Linked DNA regions of Neurospora crassa OR74A. The protein of the gene in region 2 binds, or shares a complex with, the protein of the main gene of each other region. Links are inferred from orthologs where the notes say so. Each region holds a gene or a part of one and is shown on either strand. Other genes may lie near its edges. The genes, in order: NCU03957 and NCU00360.

What was found.
Region 1: NCU00360 (region 2) and NCU03957 share a complex: the UniProt entries of both Saccharomyces cerevisiae proteins name them as parts of the multi-subunit COQ enzyme complex. The link is inferred for Neurospora crassa OR74A from reciprocal best matches to the Saccharomyces cerevisiae genes COQ11 and CAT5.

What each region holds. Positions count from the first base shown.
Region 1 is NC_026506.1:2,236,653-2,246,841, reverse strand, and holds NCU03957 (COQ7), read right to left. Parts: upstream 5,304-10,189; 5' UTR 5,030-5,303; coding exon 4,259-5,029; 3' UTR 3,751-4,258; downstream 1-3,750. Other genes in the region: NCU03961 (WD repeat protein), read left to right, coding at 1-195; NCU03960 (hypothetical protein), read right to left, coding at 466-755, 823-1,003; NCU03956 (hypothetical protein), read left to right, coding at 5,951-6,162, 6,385-7,091, 7,153-7,292, 7,349-8,095; NCU03955 (phospholipase D1), read right to left, coding at 8,825-8,831, 8,924-10,189. UniProt on the Saccharomyces cerevisiae protein: Catalyzes the hydroxylation of 2-hexaprenyl-3-methyl-6-methoxy-1,4-benzoquinol (DMQH2) during ubiquinone biosynthesis.
Region 2 is NC_026503.1:3,571,905-3,582,798, reverse strand, and holds NCU00360 (NAD dependent epimerase/dehydratase), read right to left. Parts: upstream 7,249-10,894; 5' UTR 7,033-7,248; coding exon 6,926-7,032; intron 6,843-6,925; coding exon 6,083-6,842; 3' UTR 5,942-6,082; coding exon of another isoform or gene 4,922-5,941; 3' UTR 4,879-4,921; downstream 1-4,878. Other genes in the region: NCU00363 (hypothetical protein), read right to left, coding at 1-7; NCU00362 (hypothetical protein), read right to left, coding at 1,343-3,406; NCU00361 (pre-mRNA-splicing factor syf-2), read left to right, coding at 4,922-5,941; NCU00359 (YEATS family protein), read left to right, coding at 7,703-7,937, 8,016-8,710; NCU00358 (hypothetical protein), read right to left, coding at 8,991-9,724, 9,797-10,060, 10,120-10,285. UniProt on the Saccharomyces cerevisiae protein: Component of MIOREX complexes, large expressome-like assemblies of ribosomes with factors involved in all the steps of post-transcriptional gene expression. Component of a multi-subunit COQ enzyme complex required for coenzyme Q biosynthesis.

The DNA.
Region 1 (10,189 bases), on a different chromosome or scaffold from region 2:
GATACGGCATTCGGCCAAAGAGCTCCAAGGACCGGGCGCGTCACTAAGACCCGAACGGACGTGGTCGGAGAGCAGAAGATTACGTTCGTGCCCGAGTCCAAGAAGAAGAAGCAGGCTGAACCCGAGGCTGCACCAACACGGAAGAGACATGATGGGAGGCGAAGTGCAAGCACGAACACCTTTAGACGACTGTAAAACGCCAGAAGCTTATTGGTCCAACCCTATATACTATACATGTGAAAAAGTCATGGTATCTTTCATGTCAACTCCTCCAGGCCGTGGTGAACCGGCCAAGAACATCATTGCCGTCCACGGCACACATTTCTTTCCGAATACGAGTCGCAAAGCAATAGGCTCGCGCGACCAGCGATACCCAAAATATACCCCAAGCTTGCCATTTTCGTCATCAAATGGTTCATTATATCTCAACTCGTGCTGTCTGATTTTCTCTTGCGCCACACCGGCTCACTTCCGACTGAAGTTGATGCGTGTCTTTCCTGACTTCTCCGGCTTCCCCATGCCCTTTTCCAAATCCAGATGCTCGGGTTTGATGCGCGGGGTGGGTGGCACATCATCGATCCTTACACGGCCTTTATGTTGGGATCTGGTTGATCGGAAAGATCCCTTGACCGATCTGGGGAACTCGCTGCGTCGTGGGGTCAAAGCCGTGACGACCCTCTTTGCCGACTTTCGAATGGTCTCCCTGACCTTCCACTCATTTTTCTTTGCCAGGAAGAAGAGAACTGCGCTACCGACTGTTGGAGGGAGGGTCAATATCATGTCCGGTCAGTGCAGTATTGCTGATGGGCGAGAAAGACTTACCACCGAAGATGGTGACGACACAAACAACCACAATGATGGCGATCAGACCACCTTGAGATAGCCCGACGTCGTTTGATGACGTCCCGGCCGCACCGGCGATACTTCCACTGTCTCCCATGTCTGGACCAGCACCGACGCTTCCTGGGTTCGCATCCGGCTCGTAGTTGGCGTCTGACGACATGACTGCAGTTGCTGGGGGTTCCCCTCCCTTTATATAACTGCCACTGCTGTCTCTTGTTCCAAACCAGGCCCGGCCTCGTAGTGACGTGATTATGAGATGTCGGTCTGATGTCGAAAAGGTCGATATGAACTGAGGTGAGACCACTTTATTTTTCTTTATTCTCAGTTGCGTTGCACGGCAAGCAATGAAAAGTCGAGACCGATAGGAATGCGACGCGCGACTGTCAAAGTCGGGTGATGAATGATATGACAGTGGGAAGAGGAAAGTGAATAAAAAATATGAAACGCAATCAAAGAGGAGGAGGACCAGAAAGGGAAAAAAAAAAAAAGGCGGGCGTTTGGGAGGCAATAGAGGTGGTTGTAGGGGTTGGTAGGTAGGTGGGTATGTAATTTGTATAAACGCCGGTGTTGCTTCGTGGGCTCGCGGCGGCTACTCCTACTTCCAAAAGAGGTATATGTGCGATGTTAATGGTTGATACCGTGATTCGACAGTGAGCAGTACTTAATGGAGTAGACTTAGGCCCTCTTCTTCTTCCCGCTTCCTTGAGTGGTTGCCTCCTAGAGGAGCTACCTTAGTGTATGCTTAAAAGGACCCAATGCCCCCGCTCCCTTCTCCCCGCTAGGCAAGGTACTGTGATCTGACGATGCCCAATCTTTCAATGCGGACGAAATCTTCACCTGTCGTTATAGACCCGGATAAATCGACTGTGTGCCCAGATATTTCGGCGGTGTGGAACCTAACTAGCCAATGAGGTGTCATGGAATCCCAGCGGCTCAACTACCTCTACACTACACCAGCGTTCGCTATGGTCATTCTTACAATGCGATGCTTGCCTTGAGTTGCTTCTCAAGATGAGGGAGATAGAATTCGAAGGACTAAGAGATGGTGGTGGAAATGAGGCATTTGAAGCTAAGGATGCATAGAGACAAACGCGAGGCCAAGGTCGGAGACAGCCCGTTGGAAAGTACTACTCCTAGAGCCAAAGAGTAATACAACGGGAGCTCCAAAGTCAATACCAATTAGTTGCTCTAAGTTGTCGTTAATAGAAGGCGAGGAAGGGTAGGTGACTACGCGCAAAGTTAATGCCAATTGCCAAGTTCAAGGGTCTTGGCTTCTTGGCTTGGCTTGGTGCTCAGTTTGTATGGCCCCACACCGCCGAAATATCTGGGCACACAGTCGATTTATCCGGGTCTGTCGTTATGTGACGCCGAGGTTCGCCTGCGTTTACTGTGCCTGGGCGTGCCTGGTTGAACCTGGTCAATGGTCATGCTGTCTCACTCAAATATCACCATCAACGAGTCGCCGACCGTTGCATTCGGCACTTTGTCTTTCCATTACTACATCAAAGAACGGTTTCTCGCCTTCCCGACTACATACCTAGGTGATCATCCAGCGACCAGCGGCCTGTCTTGATATTACTTGACCTCACTTAGGTATCCGTTCTCGTTGCGCCTTACCGCCGCCATTGCTTCCACTGTCTCACGTGTATAGGCAATTTCATTCAACAACAACGTCCATTGACGAAGAGAAAACACAGAAAAGAGGTCAGGCCCAGATAGTACCAGCACATAAAACTCCATGGCCCCTGTCCGCCCAAACAATTCCGCCTCCGCACTAGCGCCGTCCACTCCCAACCCATCACTGTGATCCTTTCCCCCTGGCGGCCCTGAAACAATCCAGGTACGCTAGCCAATCCAGGTCCTGATTGGCCAGAAACCCTTAAAGACTCACAACTCCCGGCGCTTGCAGACGGCCATCGTTAACCAATCGGACAAGGGCTTCGGCTTGGTTGCCGCTGTACTACTCGTACCTAGTGTCCACTATCCAACGACGTCCGGAGTGTCCAGGGGTGTGAGTGTGATATGGTGAACATGGGATGGGGGTTTTTTTTTCAATTTTTTTTTTCAATTTTTTTCTTTTTTTCCCAACGACAAGTGAACATGATATGATGATCCTGTCTCCTTTGTGCTTTTGTGTGTGTGTGTGTGTGTGTGTGTGTAAATGAAGTTGGTTGATAAATACCATGTGGGCTTGGTCACTGTGACCGTGATGGTCACTTTCACTTTCTTTTTCATGTCTCTTCTATTGCGCTACCTACCTATCCTTACCAGACAAACGGACGGGCCATTCGATAGTGCGAAGGTATATAAGGTGATGTTATGCTTCTGTTCTGTCCCGCATCAAATGTGATGCCCCCCGAGTAGTAATAGTGATTGATGCTGGTGAGTGTGGCACACATTATTCGTTACGAGGTGTCATGCGGATAGCTTGACTCTCATATGCCTTGTTCGAATGGCTTCCTCCGTGAGATGGGGTGTTATCTTCGCTCTCCTTGGTATCCCTCTTTCAACCTTTCAGTGATTTGAGGATGGCTTGATGATTGCAGCCCTGGCGGGTTGTCTTTTGTTGCGCTGTCTTTTCCCCAGAAGTCATCGACGCTTTGCCAATGAGGTTAGCATGCTATTTTACTCTTCTTTCCTCCAGCTTGGGACAATCAGGCTCACGAGAATCCAGCTCCTCGATCGCGGTCTCCGTACCTCCTCAAAAATATTAGGCCATTCCAACTAATCCAGCATGTTGACGTTGCGTCTTGAGATGATCCTAGAATGACTGAAGCACTGACGTTGTCGATGTGGGGAATTCATCCAAAAAAAAAAAAAAAAAAAAAAAAAAAAAAAAAAAAAAAAAAAAAAAGTGACACTCACCGCCGACTCGAGCAGCAGCCACAAGCGTACCCGGATATGAAACCAAAGCCTCAGCAATATTGAGCTTGTGATGTAGCCCATGAGTCGAGCCATCAGTGTTGCCAACTCATGCTTATCTTTGTGAAAGACGCGCAAAGAACAAGAGTGACCTAGATACCAATTCGAAGTGAACCCTCTTCTCTCCTAGTGACCTAAGCTACCCACGCCACGCGCTGATTTTCATATGGACTCCACACTAAAGCAAAATGAGCCACCTCTGCTCTTAGCAGTGATGCCTTGAGAAAGCGGCCATTTGTGAATGAGTGCTGTTGTCGAGGTGCTTCAAGAACTGAGTGAACTGGTCGAAACAGCACATCGGTGCTTTCGCTTCGTCGCCTACCCTCCCAATAAGCTAATAGTACAAACGGACAGGTTTGTAATCCGTGCTTTGCAGAGCATAATGCTAATGCTCCTGTCCCCTCATGAATTCGTTCTCATCTTCATCGACACAATCCTCCTTCAAAATTAACTTTTTTCCCTTCACGTACCGACCCCAAAGAAAACCCCCCTCTTACACCCTCTCACTAACCCAAATGGCACCTCTGCACCCCGCCCTAATCACCCCCGTCAACAACCAGTGCGGCTCCGCCTTCTGCGCATCATGTTCAACCGCATGATCCAGGTGCTCCAGCTCCTCATCCCGTATCCTCCTCAACGTGTTGATCAGATGCCTGAACTCTGCGCCAACCTCATACCCCTCAGCCTCCCACTCGCTCACCATCTCCAGCAGCTTACGGATCTGGGCATTATAATGGCCGCCAATCTCCGTCTCTACCGCCTCGGTGCACGCCATGGCTGCCTCCTTGCCCAGCATGGCGGTGCCCCAGCCCAAGCCCGTGGCCATGACGGACCAAAGCGGGTACAGCGCCGTGGGCCGTACGCGGTGGCGGTAGATCAGGTCGTTGAAGGTGCGCAGATGCGCCGCCTCTTGGTCGTACATGTGCTTCATGAGCGGGCGCAGCGAGGGGTCCCGGGTTACGAGAGGCGGGGTCTGGCCCGTGTAGATGAGGGTGGCGGCGAGCTCGCCGGCCTGGTTTACGCGGAGGGCGGACGAGAGGAAGGCGCGCTGCTCGGCAGTGAGGGGTTTTTTACCCTTGGAAGAACTTGTCGACGACCTGGAGTTTGGTGGTGGTGGTGCTGGGTTGGTCTCGGGGGTTGTGGAGGGGCTGTGGACATGCGAGGAGCTGGTATCAGGCGAGACGGGGGAGGAGAAGAAGCGCGCGGCGCATTGCCGGACCTGTCTGGTGGCCACGAGGGCTGGCCTGGTTGCTGGACGAAGCATGATATGGGCTGTGACGGTCTTTTCGGTCTTGCGTGTTGGAGGAAGACTTGGGACGAGTTGGTGAAAGCTGATGTTGCACGGACCGGAGGCGGTTGTTGCGACGGAGTACAGTAAGCTCGGGGGAGATGCGCCGAGGCCGAGTGAAAGACGGGACCTCGAAAGTCGGCCCACTTACAAAATCACGGCGACCTCGAACGGGAAGCTCCATCGCTGAGTGCTCCACAGGGCTGCCTGCACATGCGATGACGTTGGTCAAGCCAAGGGTCAAAAGGACGACGGGACTCAATTCAATTGGGCTTTTGCCGGGCCGGCAACGGGCCTGATCTAACCTTTGGGCGGTGTGGAACTTTTGGGCGCCTTGACCACCACCACCACTCACCAACTCCCGTCACGCCAAGCACTGCCCCTGGACGTTGAAGTTGTCCGTCAGGTCGCGCACAAGCGGGTGGAGTTCCAGGTCGCGCCGCCCAAGTTCCATAAAGTAGGTACTTACCTTACCATCAGCCTAGACCAGACCCCATTGAATTCCTATTGATAACTGCTGGACAATAGGAGTTCACCTCCCTTCTACTTATACTAACCTTTCTCTCATCCCGCTTTGGACTTTCTTGTCGCCTCACTCATTCATCGCTCCCGTCGCCGCCTCAACACCACCCGATTGCATAACGACTTTTTGATTTTGGCGCATTGTTAACCCACAATTGGGAGAACATTGTTGGTTCCGATCATATCCACCAACAAGTGTTTGGAAGAATCAGTTCGGCCCTTCACTCGACGTATCCCGACATCGCGTTCGCCATCTGCACCCGACGGTTTTCCATCGAACCCTGCTTTGCGCAGCAGCCATTGCATAGCCCTAGCGCTTACAGCCACACAGAAGCAGCTTTATAAGAACCGACAGCCCGTGACAGACAAGCGACCATGTCAGACATCGACGACGAGTTGCTCGCCCTTGCAGGCGGTGACGCCTCCGATGACAGCGGAGATGAGGCTATGGACATGAGCAGGGACGATTCCCGCTCCCCGTCACCAGAACCGAGGAAGAAGGATACGTCTACCAGGGGAACGGCCAAGAAGTCAGTGGGAAGGAAACGTGCCAGAAGCGATGACGAGTCGGAGGACGAGGGCCAGGCGTGAGTGCTTGTCTTTCTTTTCCTTCACCCAGCTCTCAGGTAGCCCTAGGGCTGCCGTTCTACATGTCACCCATGCGCCACATCGACCTCAGCCTACAGCTCGCCTTTATCAACCCCTTCTGCTCCTCCTCTTGCCTCCTTCCCTTCTTGATTCCTCTCAATCACCCCGCCCACCATGCTGCTCAAGATGATGGTCAAGGCTAAACAACTTCTCTTCGGCAGCTCTCCGCCGGGATCCCCGGACTCCCAAGCTTCTGCCCCCATGGACGAATCAGACTCAGACTCAGATGCCTCGCCGGCGAGGCGTAGTGTTGACGATGAGGTGAACCAGTACCCTGTCGACGGTCTCTTCCGCGACTACGAAGAGAAGGAGCAGATCATGGGCATGCGTGAAATCGAGAGGGAACAGATTCTGGCCGAGCGTCGAGAGGAGAATGAACGTATCCGCCAGAACCGCATGCTTCGCCAGCTGAAGGTCAACCAAGAGAAGAAGCGCAAGGCAAGCCTAGCCGAGCTCGATGATTCGTCACGCAAGACATCACGGGCTCGCACCAAGGCCGACGACAAGATGGATTCTCTCCGGCGGGCCCGGGAGGAACGCTCCAACCGCAAGGAGCAGCGAGAGCGGGAAAATGACCGTCGTAAGCGTTCGCCTTCGTACCGACGCAGCCCCGGTCGTGGTGATGATAGCGACGTGGACTGGGATGGCCCGAGCAACAAGAAGCACAGATCTCGTTCGCCAGAGAGCAGAGAAAGCCCGCCTGCTGAGCTTCGGGACTTTGAGCGTGTTCGTGTTGGCCGCAGTCGCTTTGCCGAGGTTGCTTTCTACCCCGGCTTTGATGAAGCACTCACAGGATGCTTTGTTCGCCTGAATATTGGTCCCGATCCCGACACTCGCCAGGATGTCTACCGTATGGCTCTCATTAAGGGTAAGATCATTCCCGTTAGACCCTTGTTAAGCTGAGATGTCGTTTAACGCTCGGAATGCAGGTTTCACTACCGGTAAGGCATATGCCTTGGAAGATCATCAGGGTCACCAAATGGTCGTCGATATGTATGTCAAGGCTGCCCACGGTAAAGCCGTCAGGGAGTGGCCTTTGATCACATGTTCCGACCGAAAGTTTACAGAGGTATGCGTGCCTGTTCTTTCCTCGCTTGTCATCATCTCTAATCAGACCCTCAACAGGCCGAGTACAACCGTTACAAACAAGTCTGTCTTGCCGAGGGTGTCCCCTTCCCAGACAAACAGACCCTTGTCGACAAGATCGATGACATCAACCGCCTCGTCCAGCGTACGTGGACCGAGCAGGAGCTCTCGGACAAGCTCAAGCGTCAGAACGCCCTGCAGGCCAAATTCTCTGGTGCCCAACGCGAATACCTCAAGAAGCAGCTCGACATCGCTCGCCAGGCCAACGACGAGGCCGCCATCGCCCGCTACCAGGAGCGTCTCGAGAAACTCGAGGTGCCCCGCCTTGCCTTCCGTACCTCCCTCACCAAGAAAGACGGCAAGAAGGAGCTGACCCAGCAGGAGAAGCTGGCGCTCAAAAACATGGAGAACCGCCGGCGCAATGCCGAAGAGGTCCGCAAGGCTCAGCTTCGCGAGCGTGCCAAGGCTCGTCAAATCGAGAGGAAGATTGAGCGTGGCGAGGCCGTCCAGGAGGACATGAGCCGCAGGCTCATTACCAGGCCCAAGTTCGTGCACGACTCGTCCGAGAAGGCCACGCCGAGTCCGTCCAAGGCAGGAACCCCTGCGCCGGACACGCCGTCAAAGAGCGAGTCCAAGAACAGCAACGGAGTATTGCCGCATATTGCAAAGTTGCAGGAGCAGCACAGGTTGCAACAGAAGAAGAACGGCTTGCCGGTTATTTCGGCGCCGCTGATGGACGATGAGATCATTGGCGCCATGGATCTGGGCATTGATATTGAGCTTTGATGGGAAGATCTGGGATAGTTACTTAGGGGCTCTAAGTCAATAGATAGCTCCATAAGCTTTTTGGGTCGTCTTGGCTCGGCTTTCATTTGCTTGGCGGTTATGAGCAAAAGATTGGCTGGTCAGGCTGGGAACGAAGCGTCGAAGTAAACCTAAGTCTAAAGGTATATTTGGTACGGCAAAATGATGAATAAAAGCTGTGAGAATACCTGCGTGCATGCTTGCATATACCAGTTGTGGATTCAAAGAGATAAGAAAAGTATAGCCAAGAAAAAGTCCGTGTCCTATCAGACAAATAACTAACTAGGTATATATAACAAAGAAGGTAAAATCGAAAAGAATAAACTGCCTAGGTACCAAGTATTCTGCATGCTATGATTAAAGGACATACCTCTACATACTGCCGGCGTTTGCTTGTCCTGAAAGCTTTGATAATGATGATAGTAATAAATGGCTGACGAGGAAGAATGACTCGAGAAAAGCAAGAGGTTGCCACCGAATGCTAATATGTATGTAACCCGCCAACCCAACAACGCCTTGCCATGAATACTTAAATGTTACTACATATGATGAGTCTTTATCTTCCGCCGCTCCGATTCCATGTTGTTTGCGAAGATAGGCAAAGCAAGGGTGAAATATGGCCGTAGGGAAAAGGTGTGCGAAGGGGGTAGAACAGGATGACGCAGGTATGTGAAGCCCACAACCGTGGAACAACGCAGCAGACAAGCATATTTAGTTACTAGAGAAACACTGTGGTTAGCACCCATCCTAACTTGCACTTATACAAGTCGTTTTCGGAAGGAAAAGAAAAGAAAAGAAAAGAAAACTTACTAAATCTGCAACGGTGCCACTTGATCAACCTGGAACAACCAATTCCCGTTGTTCTCCTCCGTGACCAGCCAGTCATAAGGAAACTGGACCAGCGTTCCCTGGGTCAACCTGAGCGTCTCCTCGGCCTCTGCCGGGTTTAGAGTCTGAGCGTCGAATGGATTATACCCGCGCTTACTACGGCCAGTGTTCGCCCTACGACGCTGCTGCCTGGTGGATGCGGCTGGTTTGACATTAGCACCATTAGTGCCCGTGGCGGATGCGGTTGCTGTGTTGTCGGAGGATACTGCGGCGCCGTTGCCGTTGGCAATGTTGGGGGCTGCGTTGCTGTTGTCGGCTATGGTGGTGGTGGAGCCGCCGCTGGCTGAGGTTGGGGGAGGGTTAGGATCTTGGTTGTTGGAGAAGGTGGCGTGTCGCTCCTTGTTGTTGGTGATGCTGGCGCTCAGGAAGTCTCCAGACGCCCTGGTATCATCGTGGTTCGAATCAGCGCTGTCTTTGGGTGTTGCTGTGGGTGGGCGTTCGCCGGGGTTCTGCGACGCCGTCAACATCGCACCCTTCTCAGCATCGAGTGGGAAGGTCTGAGCCTTGCGTGTGTGGTCCTTCGTGGCCCCCTTCTCGTCCAACGTAGTAGTTGAGCCTGTGCGTTCCCGAGCTCCCTTGTCACCACCGCCGCTGAGCTTGGAGACAGGAGTGACTAGCTTCTCCGTCAAGCTCTTGGTGAGTTGAGCTGGGCCCGGTGCGCTGATACCGGCTCCAGCACTGGTTTGCGCATGCTCAGCGGTCACTCCGTTCTTCTCATTGACTTCCTCGCTTGCCTTGCCACCTTCAAACTGCTTCTTGAACTCCCGCTCGTTAGCCTTGAACTCCTTGTACTCGGCCCAGTTCGTTACTGCAGAATCGGGCATGACATGGAAGACGCGGCGGTAGATCTTGGTGTTGTTCTCAGCAACACGAGACCAAACATCCTCATAGAAACTTGGATTAAGAGGATCACGCATGCAGTCTTTGTCAATGTTGGCCAGCTCAATGTTCATGGCGATCTGGCTGTGAGACAGTGTCCCGTTTGCTGTAATCTGAACAGGCGGTCCACCAATATCAGTATCGTCAACAACAGGCAGGACAGGCAACTGATTGGCTCTGGGAAGACCAAGCTGCTCCGTAGTCCGTCTGTTGAACGGTGGCATTGGCGGCATGTGCTCATTGCCGATGCTTTCAGAAAGAGACGCAGCATCATGAGGCCGGGTGCGAAGCTCATGAGACTCATGCGGG
Region 2 (10,894 bases):
AAGTCATATTGACAAGCGAATGATTGGATCGACCCCTTCCATGCTTTCACTTTACCACGGTGGCGGCGTAGGCACTCCAGAAACGCGGAGCTGAAGAGTGATCAGACAGCACTCGTTGAGGGATGGAACTGACGATGACAGAAGAAGAAGAAGATGAAGAAGACGGCAAAAGGCATGGGAGGGGCTAGACAAACAAACGAGGGTTCTACGGAAGTTTCCCTTTCACAACTAACCCCGAAAAAAACATCGCGGTACCAAGTTTGACGATGTCGGAGGAGACAACCCTAACGGTGAGCTGGCCATCACTCGTCTACTCGTCTCTCTTTAACACAAACCTGTCCAGAGAACCAGCCTAGACTCATAGCCACCTGGAGGCGTCCCCGATGGTCTAGAGAACAAGAAGGAAACCCAGTCGGAAAGCAAAACGTTAACTAAAAGGTTCAGCCCAGCAGTCGTACAAAACCTGCGACCCGATACCGACCGAGCGGTTACTGCTACCATAATTGGCTTTTGCGAGACACTGAGACTGTAGTAGTGGTGTGTAAGACGAGAAGAGGCGCAGGGGTACATACGGACTCCGTATTCCCTCCGGTATTGGGCTGAAGACGGAACGATTGGCAACCTAACTGCGCGACAACAACCTAATCACAACACGTGTAAGTTTCTTTCGGTTCGTACCCGAGTTTACGAGGTCACACTCTGCAGACTAGTAACCAAAGGTATCATGGGTGAGATTGTTCCTTCTGCCATGTCGAGTCTTGTGGTGGATGTGGTCCAAGGAAAGGAAGGAGAGAAAAGAAATGCTTGGCTTTTCTTCCCCGATGGGATTATGTTGTGTTCCCACGCGCGCGGACTGGATCCAATGATATGCTTCTCCCCAGGCTAAAGTCTCAGCTTTCATGTGTATACTGGGAAACCCGACGGCTTGCAACCACCCGTACCCTAGGCCTCCATCATGTCTTTAAATCTACAGGGCTGAGGAAAGTGGGAGTGGTGAGTGAGTCAACGCTGAAGATGTCAAGTAAGGTAGTTTCTACGTGGGAGCCAATCCCGGGCGATGCTTAACGAGGGTTGTGCAACTTGAACATCGTTTGCGGTTCTTGGAAAAGTTATTTAGCAATAATAATCAGTTAACTGGATGATTATGGAACGGGGGAGTACGCTTTGGCTAGCGTTACTGCAAGAAAGGTTACCCTGACACACAAAAACTGACTATGATAACACAAACATCTAATTCATCCAGCCTTGCCCCGACCAAAATGCAAGGTTGGCCCCAATACTTCCTTCAACTGGGCGACCTTTCTCCCGACCTCAAAGAAAGCTCAATACCCTGAACGGATGCCTAATCCGCGTCCTTCTCTAGGGGTTCTTGTCCTTCTTCTTGTGCTTCTTCTTCGTCTTTTTCAAGTTGTCCAGCGCTTCCACCATCCTGCTCATCCGCTCCCGCTACTACTAGTCCTGGACACTCCAGAAAGAACAGATCAGCATAATTAGTAGGCCAAAGGTCCGCGGGTATCTCAAATCTAAGATCCATCATTGCCAAACGGCTGGCGATGGTTCTGAGAAAGACAAAGACCGTGGAGACGTAGTACTCGTCATCAACACTGTAACCGTTTCTGCTGCTGCATGCTGCTAGGATGGTATCCTGGCACTGGGAGATGAGCAAACAGCCTTCTTCTGTGTGAAGCAGGGGAGCGATGATGCGGCGGAGCTGGTGGAAGGATGAGGACTGAATTAGGGCTTCTAAGAGCGAGGATGGGGGGAAGTTGACTTCTTGGTGGGCGGGGAATTGGGCTTTTTCGATGCGGTGGAGTAGGAGGTGGGTGAGACGCTGAGGGTTTGTTGAGTATGAAACAGGTACACCTATTTCGAGGAGGTCGGACATGGTGAGGAATCCAAAACTTGGTTCGTGAGTGCCTGATTCCGATGTTGGGTGGTTTTGTAACCCCGTGGACTCGGAGACAAGGCCGAGTAATGCCACTGACAGGACATCACGTTCTGTTATCCGACGGTGATCGAATGGTAACAATGGTGACTTCCATTTTGTTTTGGATTCAGCAACAGTTTCGGCGACAGAGATCGCGCGTCTGACAAGCTCTTGCTGATCTGGGTCGAGGTGCGGCCACTGCTTGGTCTGTTCAGCTGCATCGTCTGCGTTGAACGGACGAACAAAGGGATTGTCGTGGGCGTCCAGCTCCAGCACCAGGTCGGATATTTGATAGGTTTCTAGTTCGACCGCTTTCGCAATAGCTCGCTTGTGGCCGAGATTACTTGAGAAGTTCCTCATCCTCTTCCATTCCTCTGCAGTCCTGTGGTTGGGAAACTTGGTGATGTATTCCCATTGCCCAATCGTCCAATGGTCGGGGATTCCTCTTGCCAGTTTTTCTTCCTTTTCTTCGGCAGCAATATTCTCGGGTGTCTTCTTCGTCATTTTCTTCCAATGGTCTTCCGTTAGGTCTTTACTGCTTCTCCTTTCCTTCTTCCTGCGTGCCTTGAGGTCGCCATCTGCGTCGAAGAGAATCTTCCTGAACCTGTCGAACTTGGAATCACTGCCAAGTCGAAGGCTTCTGAGGTAGATTCGCCCTGGCTGAGGCCTTCTCAGGTCGACCTTGTGGAACTTGAGGAAGTCATTGTGAATCTGGCCTACTCTCAAGCGCCTGAAATAGGCTTGGCCGAACTTGGCGGAGCTGAAGTCGATCTTCCGAACGAGTCTCTTCATCAAGCGATCTTTCACTGGAATCTTTTGAAAACGAAGAAAAGTGTTGTTTTCTTGACCGACTCTTAGGGTTCTGAAGTAACGACCGACCCTGTTAGCTCGATCTCTCATGAGGCTGGCTTGACCATAGCCCTTGATTTTCCCCGAGCTTCTTAATTGGCCGAATTTGCTGTGCTTGAAAGTCGGGTGGTTCATAACCCACGTATTCCAGAGGTTGACTCTCTCCTGTCTTCTTTCAGCTTCAGTTTCGGGATAGTTGACAACACTCTCATCATTGGTCTTTGTATGAAGTCCATCTTTGTTGATCGTGGACCTTTGTTGATCTCTGCGACCAGCCCTATTCCAGACGTAGTTTGGGTGCTTTTGCACCCAGTGCTTCCAAAAGTACCGGTTCCTAAGCTCCCGCATCTCCTTTCTGCGGACTCTTGGGCTTTCCACTTGAGGCTCATCCAGTCCAGCTTCGACTCCCTGGATGTCCCCGGATTTTTGAGAATTCGAGGTGAAAAAGGTGTCATCAACGTCAACCCAGCTCCCTGTGGTTTTCTCTTTCTTCTTCCTTTTGGGCATTATGGAGTAGGCGGCCGAAACCTGGACTGGCTGAAATGCCCGAAGGTGCCATCTTGGTGAGGATATTGTGACTAGCTGAAGCCAAGATAATGCAGGCCAGCACCACCTCCGATAAGGTATCATGCTTGTCGTCCACTTGCGCGTGAGAGTTGGCGATCCAGCCTTACCCGACAAGATACGCGACGACTGTAGGCGTTACTGGCGGCTGGGAACTGCTGTGATTGGGAGGAAACGAGGCTGGACTTTGTGTCACCAACTTGAACTGTGAAGAAACACAAGGTGAGTATTGGATGTGCGAAGCTGGCGGCATAGGGCATAGGGCAAGAGGGTGACGGAGAGAAGGAGAGCACTCGGTGAACCATCAATCAGTCAAGTAAACCCTCCTTCCCTCTTGACCGGTTGCACCCGCCCGCGGTGCCTTCCATTTTCTCCTCATCTCCTCGACCGGTCTGCCTAATATTCCTTTCATATTGGTTGCGATGCCGTGTTCTGTGTAACAGGTACAAAGGTACTTTATGGTCAAGAGTGCAAGTTCAATCTGGTCGAAGACGGCACGGAGAAGGTACGAGGCGGGCCGAGACGTTCAACTCCCCCCTCTTGGCGCTGTCTGCAAAATCTGGGGAAGGAGCGCTAGAAAGCCGCTACAGTCAAGTCTGTACATAACGATATGTGCTTACCCCTTGGATTTGATCGTTATTCCCAGATTATCGCAACCTTCAGTAGTGCCAAGCACGCCAAGACTGACTCGAACAGGTACTTGGGTACCAAAAAGCAGTGGTTAAGGTACAGCCAAAGGATGAGTTGGGAATATTTCCATATCTACCACCTAATAGGTATAACAATCACCATACAAACTGAGCCTGAATATTAATCGTAATTGCAATACGGAATACAATCAAGTCTGTACATAACGATATAAGGTATAACAATATCATGTAAATAACGATCAATTTCACTGCCACCGTTCCAGTTGTATGGTGATTTCAGCAGTATAACAATATATTCCGTATTGCGATTACAATTAATATTCAGGCTCAATTTGTATAGTGATCGTTATACCTATTAGGTGGTAGATATAGGAAATATTTCCAACTCATCCTTTGGCTATACTTTAACTATTGCTTTTTGGTACCCAAGTACCTATTCGAATCAGTCTTAGTATACTTAGTACTACTAAAGGTTGTAATGATCTAGGAACAACGATCAAATCCAAGGGGTAAGCACATATCGTTATATACAGACTTGACTGTATATCGTTATACTGCTGAAATCACTATACAACTGGAACGGTGGCAGTGAAATTGATCGTTATTTACACGATATCGTTATACCTCATATCGTTATATACAGACTTGACTGTAGTAAATGTCCTGTAATGATCGGCGCTAAACCTAAAAGACAGGCTCTCACGGCCCACTTATGCATCACTCTATCGTATACAATCGCTGTAGAAAGGCTTGCTCAGCATTCCACTTTCCGTCTTGCCAGGCACTGGCCCTAGCGTCCAGACCAGCCCAGGCACAGCACAGCAGCTTCAGAGAGGCTGTTTTCTTTCCGCTTCATTGACACAATCCGGATTTCACACCACACAACTACTTACCCACACAACACATCTCAACAAAACGAAGTCTATTGAAAATGCCTCCTGAAAAGAAAAGAAAGACCGAGCCCGAAGACAAGGCAGAAGTCACTCAACAAGAAAACGACGTCGCCGAGTCCACGACAGAGCCAAATAATCAGACCGTGACCGATTCCAAGGAGGAGCCATCGGTCACAGAAGCAGCGCTCGCAACGACGTCATCTTCATCACCACCGGTTCTATCAGCCTCGGAGACCGCACAACCTGACACCGCAGCAACATCTCAGTCCTCGTCAACTCCACCCACATCCACCTCTGCTGCAGAGTCTGCGGCCGCCAAAGCTCGCGAGCGTGCCGAGCGTTTCCGTGCCCTCCAAGCCCGCGCCAAGTCATCCTCGCAGCAAAATCTCAAAAAAGCCACCAAAGAATCCCAGCGCCTCCAGAGCGACCCTAGTCAACTCACTGCCCTCGGCCGTCGCCACGCGATTGCCTCCCACAAGCTGCTGAAAGCCGACATTGAAGATGCCGGGGGCGACTTTGAGCGCAAGCGGGCTTGGGACTGGACGGTCGAGGAATCAGAGCGGTGGGACAAGCGCATGAAAAAGAAGGAGGCGCACCGCGATGACACTGCCTTCCGCGACTACAACCAACAAGCCGAAAAGTCCTACAAGCGGCAACTGCGCAACATGGGAGGCCCCGATCTGGAGAGGTACACGCGCGAAAAGTTGGCGGCGATCGAAAAGGCTGCGGCGGCTGGCACATTGGAGATTGTTGAGACAGAGGATGGAGAGATGATTGCGATTGACAAGGACGGCACCTTCTTTAGCACGGCAGACTCGACGCAGTTCGCACAACACAAGCCCGACAAGGCGGCCGTTGATCGACTGGTGGCCGATATGCGCAAGGCCGAGGAGGCCAGCCTTAAGAAAAGGAGGGAGCGCATGGCGAACAACGGCGACGACGCGGACGTCACGTACATCAACGAGAAGAACAAGCAGTTCAACCAGAAGCTGTCGAGGTTCTATAACAAGTACACGGCAGAGATTAGGGACAGCTTTGAGAGAGGAACCATGGTTTAGGGTAACTCTGGGCTTCGTGCGAAGAGGAAACGGCGTTGAAGGATTGATTATTGGTTTTTATATGTCAAGCATCATCGTTTTATACATTGCCAAGGTTATGATTCAGGTAAAATACAGACCATTTGAGCCGATTTTTTGCTCTCAAAGCATAGTTCTCCTCCAACCCTTGTTCGCCAAAGTCTCCAGCTCGGGGACCTCAACTGCCCCTTTAACCGCTGTATCGTCCAATCCTTCCACCACCGCCTCCGCAACCAGATCTGCCTTGAGAGGCTTCGTCCCCGCACTCCCCAAGAAGTCTGATAGCACTCCTCCTGTGGCCCCGTTGAAGATACTTCCCGCCATGGTCATCGCCGCCAGCGGCATCGTCACAGGCCGCGAGCTGTCGTACATGAATGGCGGCCTGAAGAATACACTCCGCATGTCGGGAAACTCCCGCGCGATCACGTCCTCAGCCTCCCTCTTGGTTGAGATATACCTGCTCGGCAACACGGGCGCTCCTCCCGCAGCCGAGATGTATCCAAAGCCCTTAACGCCTTTGTTAGCGGCCTCCTTGGCGAGCAGGATGGCGCTATCGCGGTTCATCATCTCGTAGGTCAACTGGTTCGCGTTGGTCGGAGGACGGAGCTCGTCATCGGGACGACGCTGGAGCGGGTTTGGGGTGTGACGGGGCGAGAAGGCCTTCTGGAGGCCTGCAATAGGAGATTCCCGACCGGAGATGACGCCCTTGTAGTCGGCTTCGAGGAGGATGCCCAGAGAATGGACGACATAGTCAGCACCGTTCAGGAGGGCAATCCACTCGGCGGGGCGGAAGATGTCAGCGCGCTCCCAGGAAACGGCGGTCGACCAGGAGGGAGCGGAGGGGGAGGCGGATACGGAAGACCAGTTCGGTTGGCCGGAGCGACTGGACGTAGAAGAGGTGGTCAGTTCATCCATTTGTAAAGGGTGGAATGATAAGCTATGGAGGATAGTGTTGGAGTATGATACCTAATTGATGTCACATCCCATCCTCTGTGGACAGCCGCCTGACAGATCCTGGAGCCGAGGAAACCGTTGCCTCCGGCGACGATAAGCTTCTTTGCGGCGGACGACATGATGGAAGCTTGCTTGAGGGTGAGAGCTTGGGAAGAAGGATATTATCTCAAGAATAGGTAGCTCAAACACATTGGCTGGTCAGGTTCTTTTTATGTTTATCAGACTCTTTCTCGGCAAACTAGGTTATGCTTCCAGGTTTCCTCTCCGATTTTCTCTCCGCAGAAGTAAACAATCGAAACCCCAGACGATTGCATCATGGAGAGCCTCGATCCGTTATCCAGACTCGAAAAATCCTTATCGAACAATCATCTACAAGGGTGGCACTGATGTCTTTCGATAAATTAGCAGCGCCAAGGGTCCGCTAAACCCCGGAGGGAAAGGGAACCTTAGCAGTTGGGCTTCTCTGCCCCGCATTCAAGGCTGGAACACACCCAACTTTTTTCTCCATCCTTCATGCAGGTACCTTGCTGGTGGTGGCACTTTTGTAATCCTGTAATCATCATTTTGTTCTCTTTGCGCCATCTTCACTTCTTCAAGAATCACGCCTCCCGTACACAGTCATCTAGTCGTATTCAGGTCTGATAAACGACTTGCGTTTGCCCAGCTATATCGCTATAGCTATAGCTTTACCAGTTGGCCTACCGCGTCTGTCGAAACCACCGCGAAACAGCGCGAATCTCCACACTTCGAACAGCTTCAACCTATCCATAACCATCACCGCCAAACAAGATGGCACCACCTACAGGCAAGCGTGTCAAGGGCGTTCAAATATTTCGACCCTTCGTTTACGGAACAACAGCACGGCCCTTCGACGAAAAGACCAACCCCAAACCACCCGGCATTCCAGATGATCACACGCACTCCTGGACCGTTTTCATCAAGGGCATCGACGATGTGGACATTACGTACTGGCTTCGGCGCGTTCAGTTTAAGCTTCACGAGTCCATTCCAAACCATGTTCGAAGTACGTCCCTACCTCCGGTTCTCAAACCTCCCTCCATCCCCTTCGACCTAAGCTAATCAACCGTGTCCCTCCGTCCAGTGGTAGAAGGGGTCAAAGGCCAACCCTTCCAAATACACGAGACCGGCTGGGGTGAGTTCGAAATCACCATGAAGCTGTACTACGTCCCCGAATCCTCCGAGAAGCCTCAAACGCTCTATCACCATCTGCGCCTGCACCCATTCGGCCGCACCGAAGAAGAGAAGGAGGCTATGCGCCTCAACGGCGGCGAGGTCATTTCCTGGGTATACGAGGAACAGATCTTCAACGAACCCTACGAGCCCTTTTACGATATCCTCATCTCCGGCGCCCTCCCGCCATCGGCTTCAACACTGAAAGACGGCGGCGGCGGCGGCGGTAGTGGCGCCGCGACGCCGACCAGTGCGAACACGCCCGGGGCGAGCAGCAGCAAGGGCGGAAATAAGAAAGGGCACGAGAGGAGTCACTCGCGGGCTAGTGTGAGCACGAACAAGGACGGGAAGAACAATAACGAGTCAAAAGAGGAGCCGTTCGTGATACAAAAGTCCGAGGGAGGCGTGCTGGAGAGGAGCGCGATGATCCCTCTGGTTAATAGACCCGGGCAGCCGTTCAGTCGGGAGACGGAACAGTTGGAGATTCAGAAGCTCAAGGAGGCGAAGCTAAAGGTGGATGAGATGAAGAAGCAGATGATGGAGGAGTTGGAGAAGAAGCAGAAACGGCTGGAGGCACTGAGGGCGGAGAGCGCTAAGGCTCCCTAGAAGGAAGTCGAGGAGCGTTCAGCGCAGAAGGCAGCTCGGAGGCGGCGTTCCCGTGTGGCATCTGATCCGGATTATGTTGAGTAAAGGGAGTTGTGGCGTTCATGGGTGCTAAACAGCCAGGGTGTCACAAATTGCATTGCTAGTGTTGGGTAAGGAAAAACGGCGCTTTATCGTTCATCATTTAGGGTTGTTCAAGGCCAGCACGGCACCGAACCATCACCATTACAAGTGCCCATCCATCTCCCTTGAAAGCCCATGACAACATCAATGGCATAAACTCTCAGGCCGCCTCCCCTGCCCCAACCTCCATGAAACACCTCGTCCGGATCCTCGGCACCTCCACCCCCTCATAATACCCCCCCTCTTTCAACACCTCATCCATCCCCTTCCAATACTCCAACTTAGCCTCCCAATTCTTCTTATCCAAATCCGCCAGCTTGGCTTCCACCTTCAAGCCTGCCTTCGAGTCTTCCGATATTCTCACAAAACAGGTACAATCCCTCAACGTCATCGCCAACGCCAGCTTCTCCTGGTCACTCGTCCCCTCCGGCGCCGGGTCCAAGCTCTCTTGCGCGTCCCGCAGCTTGGGCAGCAACGAATTGCTTTGCAGCCAGTGAACAAGCGCGACGCGGTAGCGCTCGTCTACTTGGTCCATTCCTGGCCTGCCATCGTCCTCGCCATCCAGAGAAACAGCCGGTTGCACACCAACGGGATTCTCCCTCGTCGCTGGCTTGGTGTCCAATGAAGCGGAGATGGCAGAAAGGTTCATGGATGCGATGACTCGGGCTAGAGAGCAGGGCGAGGATTGAGCGGCTAGGTACTCGAGGGGGCAGAACGGTGGCTCGTGGCTAAGGGCACAGGAGGAGTTTTGGTCGGAGGAAGCGGAGCGAAGCGATTTGTGTAGGCGGTAGGCTTCGCGGGCACAGTTACGGCAGCGCGTGGCGGTAGAGGGGGCGGAGGGGGAAGGGGTGAGCCATTTGGGTTTGAATTCTAGAAGGAAGTCTAATGGGGATTCTGTGGAGGGGGGATTTAAGTTAGAGACAAAAGTACTGGAGGGAAAGCGGAGAAGGGTGAAGAGGGACGAACTCTTCCTCATATCCTCAACCAACATGCCATACTCGGCCTCGGCCACCTTGGTACCCTGGAAATCTGCCCTACGCTGGGCGTCTTCATTTTCAAGAATTGCATTGAGTTGCGAGACGACGGAATTGTTTAGACGAATGAGGTACTGCTGTACTAGGTCTTCCTGGGGGTTATCGAAGAGTGGACTGATGGATGACTCCCAGTACTGAAGGATTTCGGGGTGTGGAAAGGCTTTGGTATTGGCCTTTGGTACTCGTAAGAGTTTCCCTGTGATGATCTTAGTATTGACGTCTCATGTGGTGAATAGGGCTAAAGGTAATAGTCACCGTGTAGGATGTCCAAGATCTGACTATCGCCATCATCCTGAGTGGTGATGTCTTCCTCAGGAAAGACAACCTCAAAGACTATGTTGGCGGCGCCTTCACCGATGAACTTGAACTGGCAATTGGTGCCTTTCAAGCTGGCTAGGTCTGCTACTGGTTTTGGTGACATGATTACATTTACTATAATTCAGTTCGTCTGCAAGTTGAACAATAAGTGACTGCAGTTGGGCTTGTTGTTTTCCGTTGAAGTTGCTGATTGACATTGTGACGTAGAAAGGAGGCGCGGTTTCAGCTAAGGTAGGAATTGTTTGGGGCTAGCGGCAACGTGTAACCAAAACAAACGGGCACAGTAATTGGCAAGGGAAGTGATGCCTTTCTTGGCAATGGTGAGCCGAGTGAAGCTTGAGTTTTCCTTGCCACCGAAGATCATCAGGGCAGGAATGGAGTTCGTCTGATATTGTGGTGCTAGGCGTCAACTTTCATTAAACTTTCACTTTGACCTGTATGGTAATGAAGTCTTCTCAACAAGGTGACCCATGGTTCCAAACTGGTTTTGGGGGGGGTTCAAGGTACGGAATGGAAAGGGAAGACGTTCCAGGCATCTATTTTTGAACCACAGCATGACTGAGCATTGGACAGTCGTATCAATACAAAGCTGCTGTGATGTCCCCCTTGACCATACATACGTGTAACTGCGTATAAGCACAAGGTAGGTGTTTGGGGAACCGTCCTTTCCAGAGTACCCACCCCGGAAGAAACAGCATTCCATCGACACCAG